3 linked regions of the Cricetulus griseus genome follow. The protein of the gene in region 1 interacts with the protein of each later gene in a pairwise test. Links are inferred from orthologs where the notes say so. Each region holds a gene or a part of one and is shown in the gene's direction. Other genes may lie near its edges.

Evidence for each region.
Region 2: the proteins of Ube3a (region 1) and Ubqln2 interact in a two-hybrid assay, tested with the Homo sapiens proteins (2 studies listed by BioGRID and IntAct). The link is inferred for Cricetulus griseus from reciprocal best matches to the Homo sapiens genes UBE3A and UBQLN2.
Region 3: the proteins of Ube3a (region 1) and Ywhaz interact in a two-hybrid assay, tested with the Homo sapiens proteins (2 studies listed by BioGRID and IntAct, with this or other methods). The link is inferred for Cricetulus griseus from reciprocal best matches to the Homo sapiens genes UBE3A and YWHAZ.

Annotation. Positions count from the first base shown.
Region 1 is NC_048596.1:138,656,806-138,660,258, reverse strand, and holds part of Ube3a (ubiquitin-protein ligase E3A), read left to right. Parts: intron 1-692; coding exon 693-813; 3' UTR 814-3,453. UniProt on the Homo sapiens protein: E3 ubiquitin-protein ligase which accepts ubiquitin from an E2 ubiquitin-conjugating enzyme in the form of a thioester and transfers it to its substrates.
Region 2 is NC_048604.1:111,414,670-111,418,418, forward strand, and holds the start of Ubqln2 (ubiquilin-2), read left to right. Parts: upstream 1-997; 5' UTR 998-1,270; coding exon 1,271-3,214; 3' UTR 3,215-3,749. UniProt on the Homo sapiens protein: Plays an important role in the regulation of different protein degradation mechanisms and pathways including ubiquitin-proteasome system (UPS), autophagy and the endoplasmic reticulum-associated protein degradation (ERAD) pathway.
Region 3 is NC_048603.1:14,723,590-14,727,338, forward strand, and holds the start of Ywhaz (14-3-3 protein zeta/delta), read left to right. Parts: upstream 1-1,318; 5' UTR 1,319-1,458; intron 1,459-3,749.

The DNA of each region.
Region 1 (3,453 bases):
ATCATTTTCACTGTCATTTTGCCAATTGTGTTTCAAGATTTATTTGTTTATTATGTATATAGTATCCTGCCTGCATGGATGTATGAAAGTCAGAAGAGGGCACCAGCTCTCATTACAGATTGTGGTGAGCCACCATGTGGTTGCTGGGAATTGAACTCAGGACCTGTGGAAGAGCAGCGTATGCTCTTGAACTCTGAGCCATCTGTCCAGCCCCACCAATTGTATTTCTATTCAGTCTTGGGAAAAAAAAAAGAAGAAGAAAGAAAGGGAAAGGGAAAAAAAAAGAAAAGGAGCAGACTCTGAAATCTTTAATGATAGTTTTGAATAGTTTTTGTACTTTAAGTTGTTTAGTGACTTCAGCTTTTAAGTGGGTTTAGTAATCTTGGTATGTTTGTTGTGTGAAGATGTAAATGAACTACAAAGGTAAGTATCTAAAGCAATAGCTAACATAGAGTAGAAACTCAGTAAATGCAAAATATTACTGTCATCACTATCACCTTCATCATGTTAGCATTATTTTATAGGCTAAAGACCAACTGATCTTTGTAGCTAAACAGCACACTGTTTATGATTTATCTAATCTGTAGTTTCTCATTATAAACCATTTTAACTAGATAAGCATCTAATAGGAGTATTTCACACTGAGCATATTTCTTACAACTTATGATTTTCCTGTTTTTCTCTCTATTTAGGTTACCTACATCTCATACTTGCTTTAATGTCCTTTTACTACCGGAATATTCAAGCAAAGAAAAACTTAAAGAGAGATTGTTGAAGGCCATCACATACGCCAAAGGATTTGGCATGCTGTAAAGAAGCAAAAACAAAAAGAAAAAGAAAAAAAAAAGAAAAACATTTAAAAAAACATAATAAATATAGTAAGAGGGATAATTTGGTGGTGATAGTGTCCCAGTACAAAAAGGCTGTAAGATAGTGAACCACAGTAGTCATCTATGTCTGTGCCTCCCTTCTTCATTGGGGACATTGTGGGCTGAACAGCAGATTTCAGCTACATATATGAACAAATCCTTTATTATTATTATAATTATTTTTTTGCGTGAAAGTGTTACATATTCTTTCACTTGTATGTACAGAGAGGTTTTTCTGAATATTTATTTTAAGGGTTAAATCACTTTTGCTTGTGTTTATTACTGCTTGAGGTTGAGCCTTTTTGAGTATTTAAAATATATATACCAACAAAACTACTCTCGCAAGGAAAACATTGCCACCATTTGTAGACCATGTAATCTTCAAGTATGTGCTTTTTTCTTGCTTTTTTTTTTCTTTTCTTTTTTTTTTCTTTTTTTGTCCCTGAATCTAGCTCAAATCAGGACCTTTTTTCTTTTTTTCCTTTTTTTCCCTATCAGTTTGCTTTTGAAACTTGAAGTCTTAGAAACAGTATGGTGCAAGTACTGCTGTTCTAGCCCCCAAAGAGTTTTCTGTACAAAATTTTGAGAATCAATAAAGATGGAAGGGAGAACTTGGAATGTTTGAACCACAGCCCTCAGAACTTTAGTAACAGCACAGCAAATTAAAACAACTCATGCCACAGTATGTTGTCTTCATGTGTCTTGCAATGAACTGTTTCAGTAGCCAATCCTCTTAGTATATGAAAGGACAGGGATTTTTTGTTGTTGTTGTTTTTGTTTTTGTTGTTTTAAGTTTACTGGGGAAAGTGCATTTGGCCAAATGATAGGTTAGTCAAGCCTATTGCAACAAAATTACAAAGTTTGTTGTATAAACAAGCATGTAAAAGTGCTCTTAAAATGAATCTTTATTATTACCTAGATTTTAAATAGACAATCCAAAGTCTCCCCTTCTGTTGCCATCATCTTATTTAATCAGCTATTTTTCAAGGCACTCGATCAGTGTTGCAGCATAACAGAAAGGATGGCTACTGTGCCTTGTGTTACTTAGTCACACAGTAAGCAGGCCTGCAAATGAATGGAACTATTACTCCTGAGAATTACATTGTATATCCCCCAAATTAAATTTTACATCAAAAAGTGTTAAATATTCATGTGCTGTAGAAAAGTACAAGTAGGCTTAAATTACTGGATATTTAATGTAGTTTCCCATTCCTAGTCTTCTATGTCTGTGATGTTAATTTCTTTTGTTGCATAAGAAAATAAAAGAATTATGTATTTTTAACTAAGGAGAGACATACTGGTATATCATTTTACTACAAGCTACAGCTAATTTGTTGAGCTTGTGATTTGATTCTTTTAACAATTAGTGCAAATCAACCTTATATTTTAAAATTGGCAGGGGAAAATGTAGCTTTCAAATCATTGGAAATGCTTTTTTCAAATCATTTTTCATTCTTGTAGTAATCAAAACAGAACTATTATTTACTGTAATGCTAAATAAAGCAGTGGCTTAAAAAAAGAAAACTATACCTTAATGGGAGAAAAAGAACACAGTGCTTTCTATACTGTGATAAGGTAATGTGGTTTTTTTTTTTTTTTTTTTTTCCCCCTGGGATAGCCTTTAGAACACTGTTGTGGTATGTATGCTACCTTGATTATAGGACCCATAAATGTGACTATAGTCATCTTAAAGGGCCTCTTCATCCACTGAGCTTCTTATGTATTTTGAAAGTGATAAGAAGACAAATTAAGTGGATATACTTTATACAATAAATTTGTGAAGAAATTTGTGTTCTTCAGTTCTCAAGTTTTATTGTTGCTACAGTATTGAAGTAGCTGTGATACTATATCTGTGTGAAAGTTTAAGTGATAATATAGATTATCAGACAGAAGTAACATCAATATATTTAATAGAAAGTGGAAAAATACCCTAAAAAGTTTTAAGAAGAAAAAAATAAACTCTTATTTGCTTCATAATCAGTTTTTCTCAGCATGTTACCACGTTATTATGGCTGCCTTTCCATTATTGCTTTCTTAGAATGTCAAGGAACAGTATCTTATGAGTAAAAGTATACCTTTTAGTGTTGTAGAACATTTCAAACTTAAAGCTTAAAAAAAGCACAGCCTGCAGCAAAAATTTTCTGGAGACTTGGCAGCTGCAGCAAATGAATTGAGTGTCTGATTGTATATATTGTGGTCTATAGTTAATTGTGTGATCAAATCCAGTTACAATTACCTTAGCTTTATTTGGAGATACATCCCTGTATAGGAAGATATATTATCAAAAGAAACCTATAAATGAGGCTTCAGAGAACTTGTTCATATTAACATGTGGCACATGCTTATAATTGGGCAGCATCACTCCCTATTTCTGTGAGGTGGCTGTACTGAAACTTAAACTGATGTAAGGAGTTTTTTTCTCAAGAATCCACATAACCTCCTGGAGAGAGAAGTGTTTTTCTGAGGCTACATTTTGTGATGTTCTTCCCTTTAGTTGCTTAAGACTATCTTTATCCTTTCTACCCTTCCCAGGGCCACCAGAGTAAAATATGATAATAATAGCAACTTTCACTTGCTGCTTCTC
Region 2 (3,749 bases), on another chromosome or scaffold:
TTTCCATTTGTTTAGAAAAAATATTAACCCATATTAAATACCATCTATTATTTTCTCGTCACTACAGTGCATTTTGATGTACACTTTTAGAGACACTTAATATTACATGAATTAGCCACCATCTTTTAGATACAGGGATTATTTTATTGTATGGCACTATCGTAGTATGTTTGAGTAATTCTATGTTTTACACACACATTGAAAATATCTAAACACTGTTTTTAAATGCTACGTTATTAATATACATCATAATATGCTTTTTTGAATCGATTAGGTATTTCTAAACAAAGGTGCAAATATTCAAAATGTTCATTTGTATTTTCAAACTGCCGTATTACAATTCATACTACAACTAGCATGAGAGTGCATTTTCTCGGCTCCTGGTCAACAAGATTTAACATTCTCTTTCATCTTTGCAAATATGATAAAGTCGAAGTAAAATCTCATTGTTTTTATTTGAATCCCTTTGATTAATAGCGAGCACAATCATATTTTAGAAGCCTGCTGGCCGTTTTTTCGCTTCTTTTGTAAAATGCTCGCTCCCGCCATGCCTGCCCTTCCCCCATCCGGGTGTTCGTTTTCCCTTTTTGCTTTGTCAGAGTTCTTTACTATTCATTTTTCGTCCTTTGCATGGGATCGGTTCAATTCAGGCTTTCATCCTTTCACTGCCTCCCAGATTGCGAACCCACATTCTCCATTGGTCTTTCAGGGGCTGCTAAAGAAGCTGCCTCCCTCTTCCTCCTCCCGGCCTCCTCCCTTCCCCCTCTCCTCGCCTCGCCTCGCCTCGCCTCGCCTCGCCCGGGTCCCCTCGCTTTCTCTTCCAGCCTCCTTCTCTTCCCCCTCTCTTTGTTTATTTCTCTCTCCCTCCTTTCCCCCCCTCTGCAGGCCAGGAGTTTTGCACTCGGCCGAGCGACTGTGGCTGGGCTGGCGCCGCGTCAGCAGGGGGCGGGGCCGGGCCGGGGCGGGGCGGGGCGGGAGCGCGGGCACCGCAGCTGCAGGAGTTGCTGGGAGTGCGCGCGGACAGATCACAAGGCGGCGGCGGAGAAGGCCTGGAGACCTGCTCGCTCAGCGCTCGGCCGCGGCCTACGCCAAACCCTGTGCGCATCCGACTACCGGGAGCTGCAGCCTCCATTCATCTCCGAGGTACTGTGTTCCGCACTGCTCGCGGGGCCGCCCAGTCCTCTGCTGCGGCGCCTCCTTCCTTCCTCTTTCCCTCGCGCCCTCTCGCTCGCCAGCGCCTTCCCTGCCAGCCTGCGTCACCGCGGCCGCCATGGCTGAGAACGGCGAGAGCAGCGGCCCCCCGCGCCCCTCCCGCGGCCCTGCCGCTGCGGCCCAAGGCGAGGCCACCGAGCCAGCCGAGCCCAAAATCATCAAAGTCACTGTGAAGACCCCCAAAGAGAAAGAGGAGTTCGCGGTGCCCGAGAATAGCACCGTCCAGCAGTTTAAGGAAGCGATTTCTAAACGCTTCAAATCGCAAATCGATCAGCTCGTGCTGATTTTTGCCGGAAAAATCTTGAAAGATCAAGATACCTTGATGCAGCATGGCATCCATGATGGACTGACTGTTCACCTTGTCATCAAAAACCAGAACCGCCCTCAGAGCCAGTCCACCACGCAGCCTAGCACCACTGCGGGAACATGCACGACCACCACCACCACCACGGCCGCAACAGCGCCAGGGGCGCCAACGGCGCCAGCGTCGACAACGGCTCCCAGGAGTCTCTCCACACCTTCTCTCACGAATAACAATCCGTTTGCGTCGGGGACCCTGGGAGGACTTGCTAGCCTTAGCAGCCTGGGTCTGAACTCGACCAGCTTCACTGAGCTTCAGAACCATATGCAGCAGCAGCTCATGGCTAGCCCTGAGATGATGATCCAGATCATGGAAAATCCCTTTGTTCAGAGCATGCTTTCGAATCCTGATCTGATGAGGCAGCTCATTATGGCCAATCCGCAGATGCAACAACTGATCCAGAGAAACCCAGAGATCAGTCACCTACTGAACAACCCAGATATAATGAGGCAGACTCTCGAAATCGCCAGGAATCCTGCCATGATGCAAGAGATGATGAGAAATCAAGACCTGGCTCTCAGTAATCTCGAAAGCATCCCAGGTGGCTACAATGCTCTGCGGCGCATGTACACTGACATTCAAGAGCCCATGCTGAATGCCGCACAGGAGCAGTTTGGGGGTAACCCCTTTGCCACGGTGGGGAGCAGTTCCTCAGGGGAGGGCACCCAGCCTTCCCGCACAGAAAACCGGGATCCACTGCCCAATCCTTGGGCACCAACGCCAGCTACCCAGGGCTCTCCGACCAACACCACGACCACAAGCAGTGGCACTATGCCTGGCGGTAGCTCCTCTAGTAGCACCTTCGGGAACACCATGGCGGCAGCTAATTATGTTGCTAGCATCTTTAGTACACCAGGAATGCAGAACCTGCTGCAACAGATAACTGAAAATCCCCAGCTGATTCAGAATATGCTGTCTGCACCCTACATGAGAAGCATGATGCAGTCGCTGAGCCAGAATCCAGATTTGGCTGCCCAGATGATGATGAGTAGCCCACTGTTTGCTTCAAATCCTCAGCTGCAAGAGCAGATGCGTCCACAGCTCCCGAATTTCCTGCAGCAGATGCAGAATCCAGACACGCTTGCGGCCATGTCAAATCCGAGAGCGATGCAAGCGTTAATGCAGATCCAGCAGGGGCTACAGACACTAGCCACTGAAGCACCTGGCCTCATTCCAAGCTTCGCTCCAGGTGTGGGGGTGGGAGTCCTGGGAACCACCATAACCCCTGTGGGCCCAGTCACTCCCATAGGGCCCATGGGTCCTATAGTTCCTTTCACCCCCATAGGCCCTATTGGGCCTATAGGACCCACTGGCCCTGCAAGCTCTCCTGGATCCACCGGCACTGGGGTCCCCCCTGCAACCACTGTGAGCAGCTGTGCAGCTACTGATACCATCAGTCCGACAATGGAAACTTTACCCAGCCCGCAGTTCATTCATCAGATGGTGCAGGCTCTGGCAGGAGGAGGAGCAGGACCAACTCCTGCCCAGATGGCGAGTGCAGAAATGAGATTTCAGCAGCAACTGGAACAGCTCAACGCCATGGGGTTCATAAATCGTGAAGCAAACTTGCAGGCCCTAATAGCAACAGGAGGCGACATCAATGCGGCCATTGAGAGGCTGCTGGGCTCTCAGCCATCGTAATTACATTTCTGTACCTTGAAAAAATGTATCTTATTTTTGATAATGGCTCTTAAATCTTTAAACACACAAAATTGTGCTTTACTTTTATTTTGATTCTTTTAAATCTGTCTACTTATAAATCTAAAAGGATGCATTTTAAGGTGGAGTCCCTCCCTTCTTTCCCTTCCTGCTCCTCCTCCTCCCGCCACCCTCCCTCCCACCCTCTCTCTCCCTTCCCTTCCAGCCTGCCCTCTCCCCTCTTTGTTTCCTTCCCTCCCTTCTTCTTTCCTTCCTTTTCTTCTTTGGATTTCCTTCCTTCTCTGATTTGAATGGTGGGGATCAATGCTGTTTCACTCAAAGGTGTTGCATGCAAACACTTCTCTTTATTCTGCATTTATTGTGATTTTTGGAAACAGGTATCAGCCTTCACAGTTGGGTGAACAAGTTCTGTCCTACAGATGTCCAGTTTATTTGCATTTTAAACATTAGCCTATGATAGTAATTTAATGTAGAATGGAGATATTAAAAAAGAAGCAAATTATTTGAAGCTCTCTAA
Region 3 (3,749 bases), on another chromosome or scaffold:
AAGAGTCTCCATGAGAGCCTGCATCGGTTTGCTCATCTATCTGTTTTAGCGGTGCTGTGGATCTGTGGATGTGCAGACTCGGGGTGGGTGGGTCAGGGGAAAGCGATCACAGGCAACTCTCGAGCTACCTATCTGCCATTTCAGGGAAATGATCATTTGTAGAGCAAGCTTATGACCAGACCATGTATCCGACAGACAGACACTGAGTTGGGGGAAGAACAGCTTGTCGTGGAATCTTCTGGAGAGCTATGGGCTGAATACTTTTTCCCCCCTTTTCTTTTTTCCAGCCAGCAGGAGCTGGGTAAAGGCGTTTGCTTCAACTCAGGACGCACGTTTAAAGGACGCAAGGGCACACGCTTCACGCTGAGAATGCTTCTCCCTCCGCTTCCGTCTGCTGGGTGGAGACCTTGCGGGTGCAGGCACCTGCAATTTCCGCCCTCTTCCTACCCCCTCTTCCGGGCCCAGGCGCTCCCGCCCCTGCTCGGGCGAGCGGCCCCCCTCCCACTGTCAGATGGGGGGCCCCGAGAGCGAGCAGCCAGTATCCCCAAGGTGGCTCCCAGGACCTAAAAGGCTCTTTGAGAGCGTTAAGTGGAGACAACGAGCCTCCCCGTCAAAGCCCGGCTGTGTGTGTGTGTGGGGGGGGGGGGGCAACAGTGCAGCGCCCGGAGATCGGCTCGCTGTGTGAGCCTGTGTCCCCCCAGCTCGCACAAGCCCTTCCCCTCTCCTCCCGGAGACCCCCCATTGTCTCCCTGGCTGTCACGGTCTGTGCGGGGCGACAGGAGGGACAGCGGGCGGCTCGCCCGAGCCTTAAAAGGTCTAAGGCCGCTTTACTGCAGCGGTGGGCGAGCGGGCGAGCTAGCAAGCGGCCACGCCCGCTGCCGCCCCGCAACCGGGGCTCTGATCACAATGCCCCGGCCGCAGAGCCCGCCGTCATTACCGGGGCGGCCGGGAGGGGGAGGGGCGGGTGGGGGGGGGGGAAGACGCGAAAGGTCCCGGATGTGCCCGCCAGTAGAGGTGTAGGGGGGAGGGAGCGGCTTCCTTCCGCGGGCCGCAGGGGCGGCGCGGGAGGGAGGAGGGAAGGAGGAAGGAGGGCGGCTCGCGGGGGCGGCGGGGGCGAGCCGAGCGCGCGGGAGGAGGAGGAGGAGGAGGCAGGGTCGGGGACGCGCTCTCCCTGAGCTCGCCTCGGGCGGGCAAGCGAGCGGGTGGGCGGGGCGGGCGCGCGCCGGGGGAGCGGCGGTTGCGCCGGGCACCAATCAACGGTTGCCATAGCAGCGTTTGACGTCATTGTGCGTGTGGTGCCCCTGCTGCCGGGGCTAGTGATTGGAGGAAACCCCGTGTCTGCGGAGCCGCTGTAGCCTGTGAGCAGCCAGATCAGGGACAGAGTCTCAGCCTCGCCGCCGCCGCCGCCCAGGGACACTGCCGACCGGGTCCGTGTGCCGCCACCCACTCCGGACACAGGTGAGCAGCCTCCCGGGCTGGCCCCTCCGCCGCTCGCCCGCCCCGCCGCGGCGGGCGTCCCCAAGGATCCTGGACCCGGGCGGCGGCTCGTCCCGCCGAGCCCCGGGCGAGCGCCCACGGCCGCCCCCGGGCCGCTTGCTGCTGGCCCTGCCGGGGTGCTGGTCGCCCCGTCCGCCCGTGTCCCGTGTCCCCGGGGGTGGGGGTGGCGGAGGAGGCGCCCACGCGCGAGACCCTCCCGGGTTTGGGGGGGGTAGGGCTGAAGCTCGGGCGAGCGGGCGAGCGCCATCCGCCCCCGCCGGCACCCGCTTCCGCCGCGGCTGGGACCGGGGCCGTGGCGCAGGTGAGGCGGCCCCCACCCCGCCGTGGCGCCCCCGCCGCCCCTCCCCCGCCGCGCGGGCAGCCAGGTAGCGCGCGCGCGAGAGAGAGCGAGTCTCCGGGGTGGGGCCGGCTCGCCCTCCCGCTTGCCCTCCCGCCGGGGACCCGGGGCTGAGCTTCCTGGGTCCCTCTCGGTGGCTCACTCGCTCGCACGCTCGCACACTCGGTGGGTGGGTGGGTGGTTGGGGGAGGGGCTCGGCCTGGGCGCCCCGGGGACGCAGGGGGGTCTCCGGCCGGGTGGGAGGTGAGCATCCTTCGGGGAGAGCGGGGGCTGCGCCGGTCTGGGTGGGGCCCGGCCCCTCCCATCCCCCTCCTCCTCCTCCGCAGCTGTCGGGGGCGGGAGGGGGGACCCCGGGAGGGAGAGAGCGGGGTGTGTCCGGTGCGGGTCGGCCGCCGTCGGTTCCGCTCGTGCGGGCGCCGCTGGCTGGCATCGGGGGGCCCCCTCCGGGTAGGGCGAGCCGCTCGCCGCCGCCTCCTCCCCCCCACCTCCACCACCCCACCCCACCCGACCCGACCGCTCCTCCCTCTCGGCTCGGCGGTGCTCGGGTTGGGTTGGGCTCCTTGACACAGTTCCGCCATGACAAAGAGAGAGAGAGGGCGAGCGAGCGAGCCGGGGACCGGCGGAGGCGCCAGCCTGGGCGGAGCCAAGAAGGGGAGGTGGCTGCGGGCGGCGCGGACGCGAGCGAGGACTGGCGCTGGCTTTAAAAAGTCTGGGGCGCGGTTTCGGCTCGCCCCCGCTCGCCCGCCCGCCCGCCCCGGGCAGGCGAGGGTTAAGTGGGTGCGGCGAGGGCTCCCGCAGTGTAGATGCTGGTTCTTCGTGTGCTTCCCGCGGGGAACCGGGCGGCTGAGGTCGGCGGGGGTGGGGCCGCCGGGGCCGCGCTGACATCACTTCCCAGGGCCGTTTCTGGTGTGAGGTTTCCAGACCGCAAAGGGTTAACTCGGCCTAGCCAGGCCCCGGCGCTTGTTTCAGTTGAGGATGCTTCTCATTGATTTAACGCCCCCTCCCTCCCCACACCACACCACCCCTCCCCACCCCCCAAAAAAGCGATTTCTGGAAAGGTTAAAGGAAAGGGTGCGATGGTGGCCTTGGGTGGTGGCGGTGCATTGGGCAGTGACTGTCATGGAAATTCATTTCCTGGGATCCCTGTGGTTGAGAACCGTGCTCTTGACCCCGTTCAAGGAAAGAAAAAAAAAAAAAGTTGATCAGAAATAAATTGGGATCTAGGGAACTTGAACTGCAAAGGAGATTGGCGGAGAAGACGTTAGGGCCGACTTAATAAATGGTGACTTGGAGAAAAGCCATGCAGGGGGAGTCTGCACCTAAACTGCAGTGTGACATCGCAGGGGGCGCCTGCGCTTGGGTTGGCCCTGAGTGCTCGCTCCCTGCTGCGCAAAGTGTGCATGTAACTCCATGTAGATGGGTCTGTCTGGTCTCGGGGCGAGTGATCCCTAGTGGTTTTATATTCAGGGTATCCTAAGCATCAGTCAGTCAGTTTCCTCAGATAGTTTTCATCCAGGAAGTGTAGCAGATCGGGCTGGAGAAAGTGCTAGGTAAAAGGTAATCCACTCGGGGTCAGAGTGCACACACTGAAGGTTAGCTGGCCTGACTCACGGTTCTGCGAGTGGAGTGCTCTTCATGGACCTTCTAGGTCCGGATCTGGAGTGTTCTCCCCAACGCACTCACGCACACACACACTCACACACACTCACACTCACACTCACACTCACACTTACCCTCTCACTGTAGGGAAAGGTGGTGAAGTGTAGGTCACTCTGCATTGGGATTAAGTTGAGCTTTTTAAGAAAACAAGTGTGTTGGAATACACAGCAAGGGACAGCAGGCTGAGCGATGACAGGTCTGTGTCACAGCTTGAAGGTGGCTTTTGATGATAGAGTAGCACATATATGCTCTGATC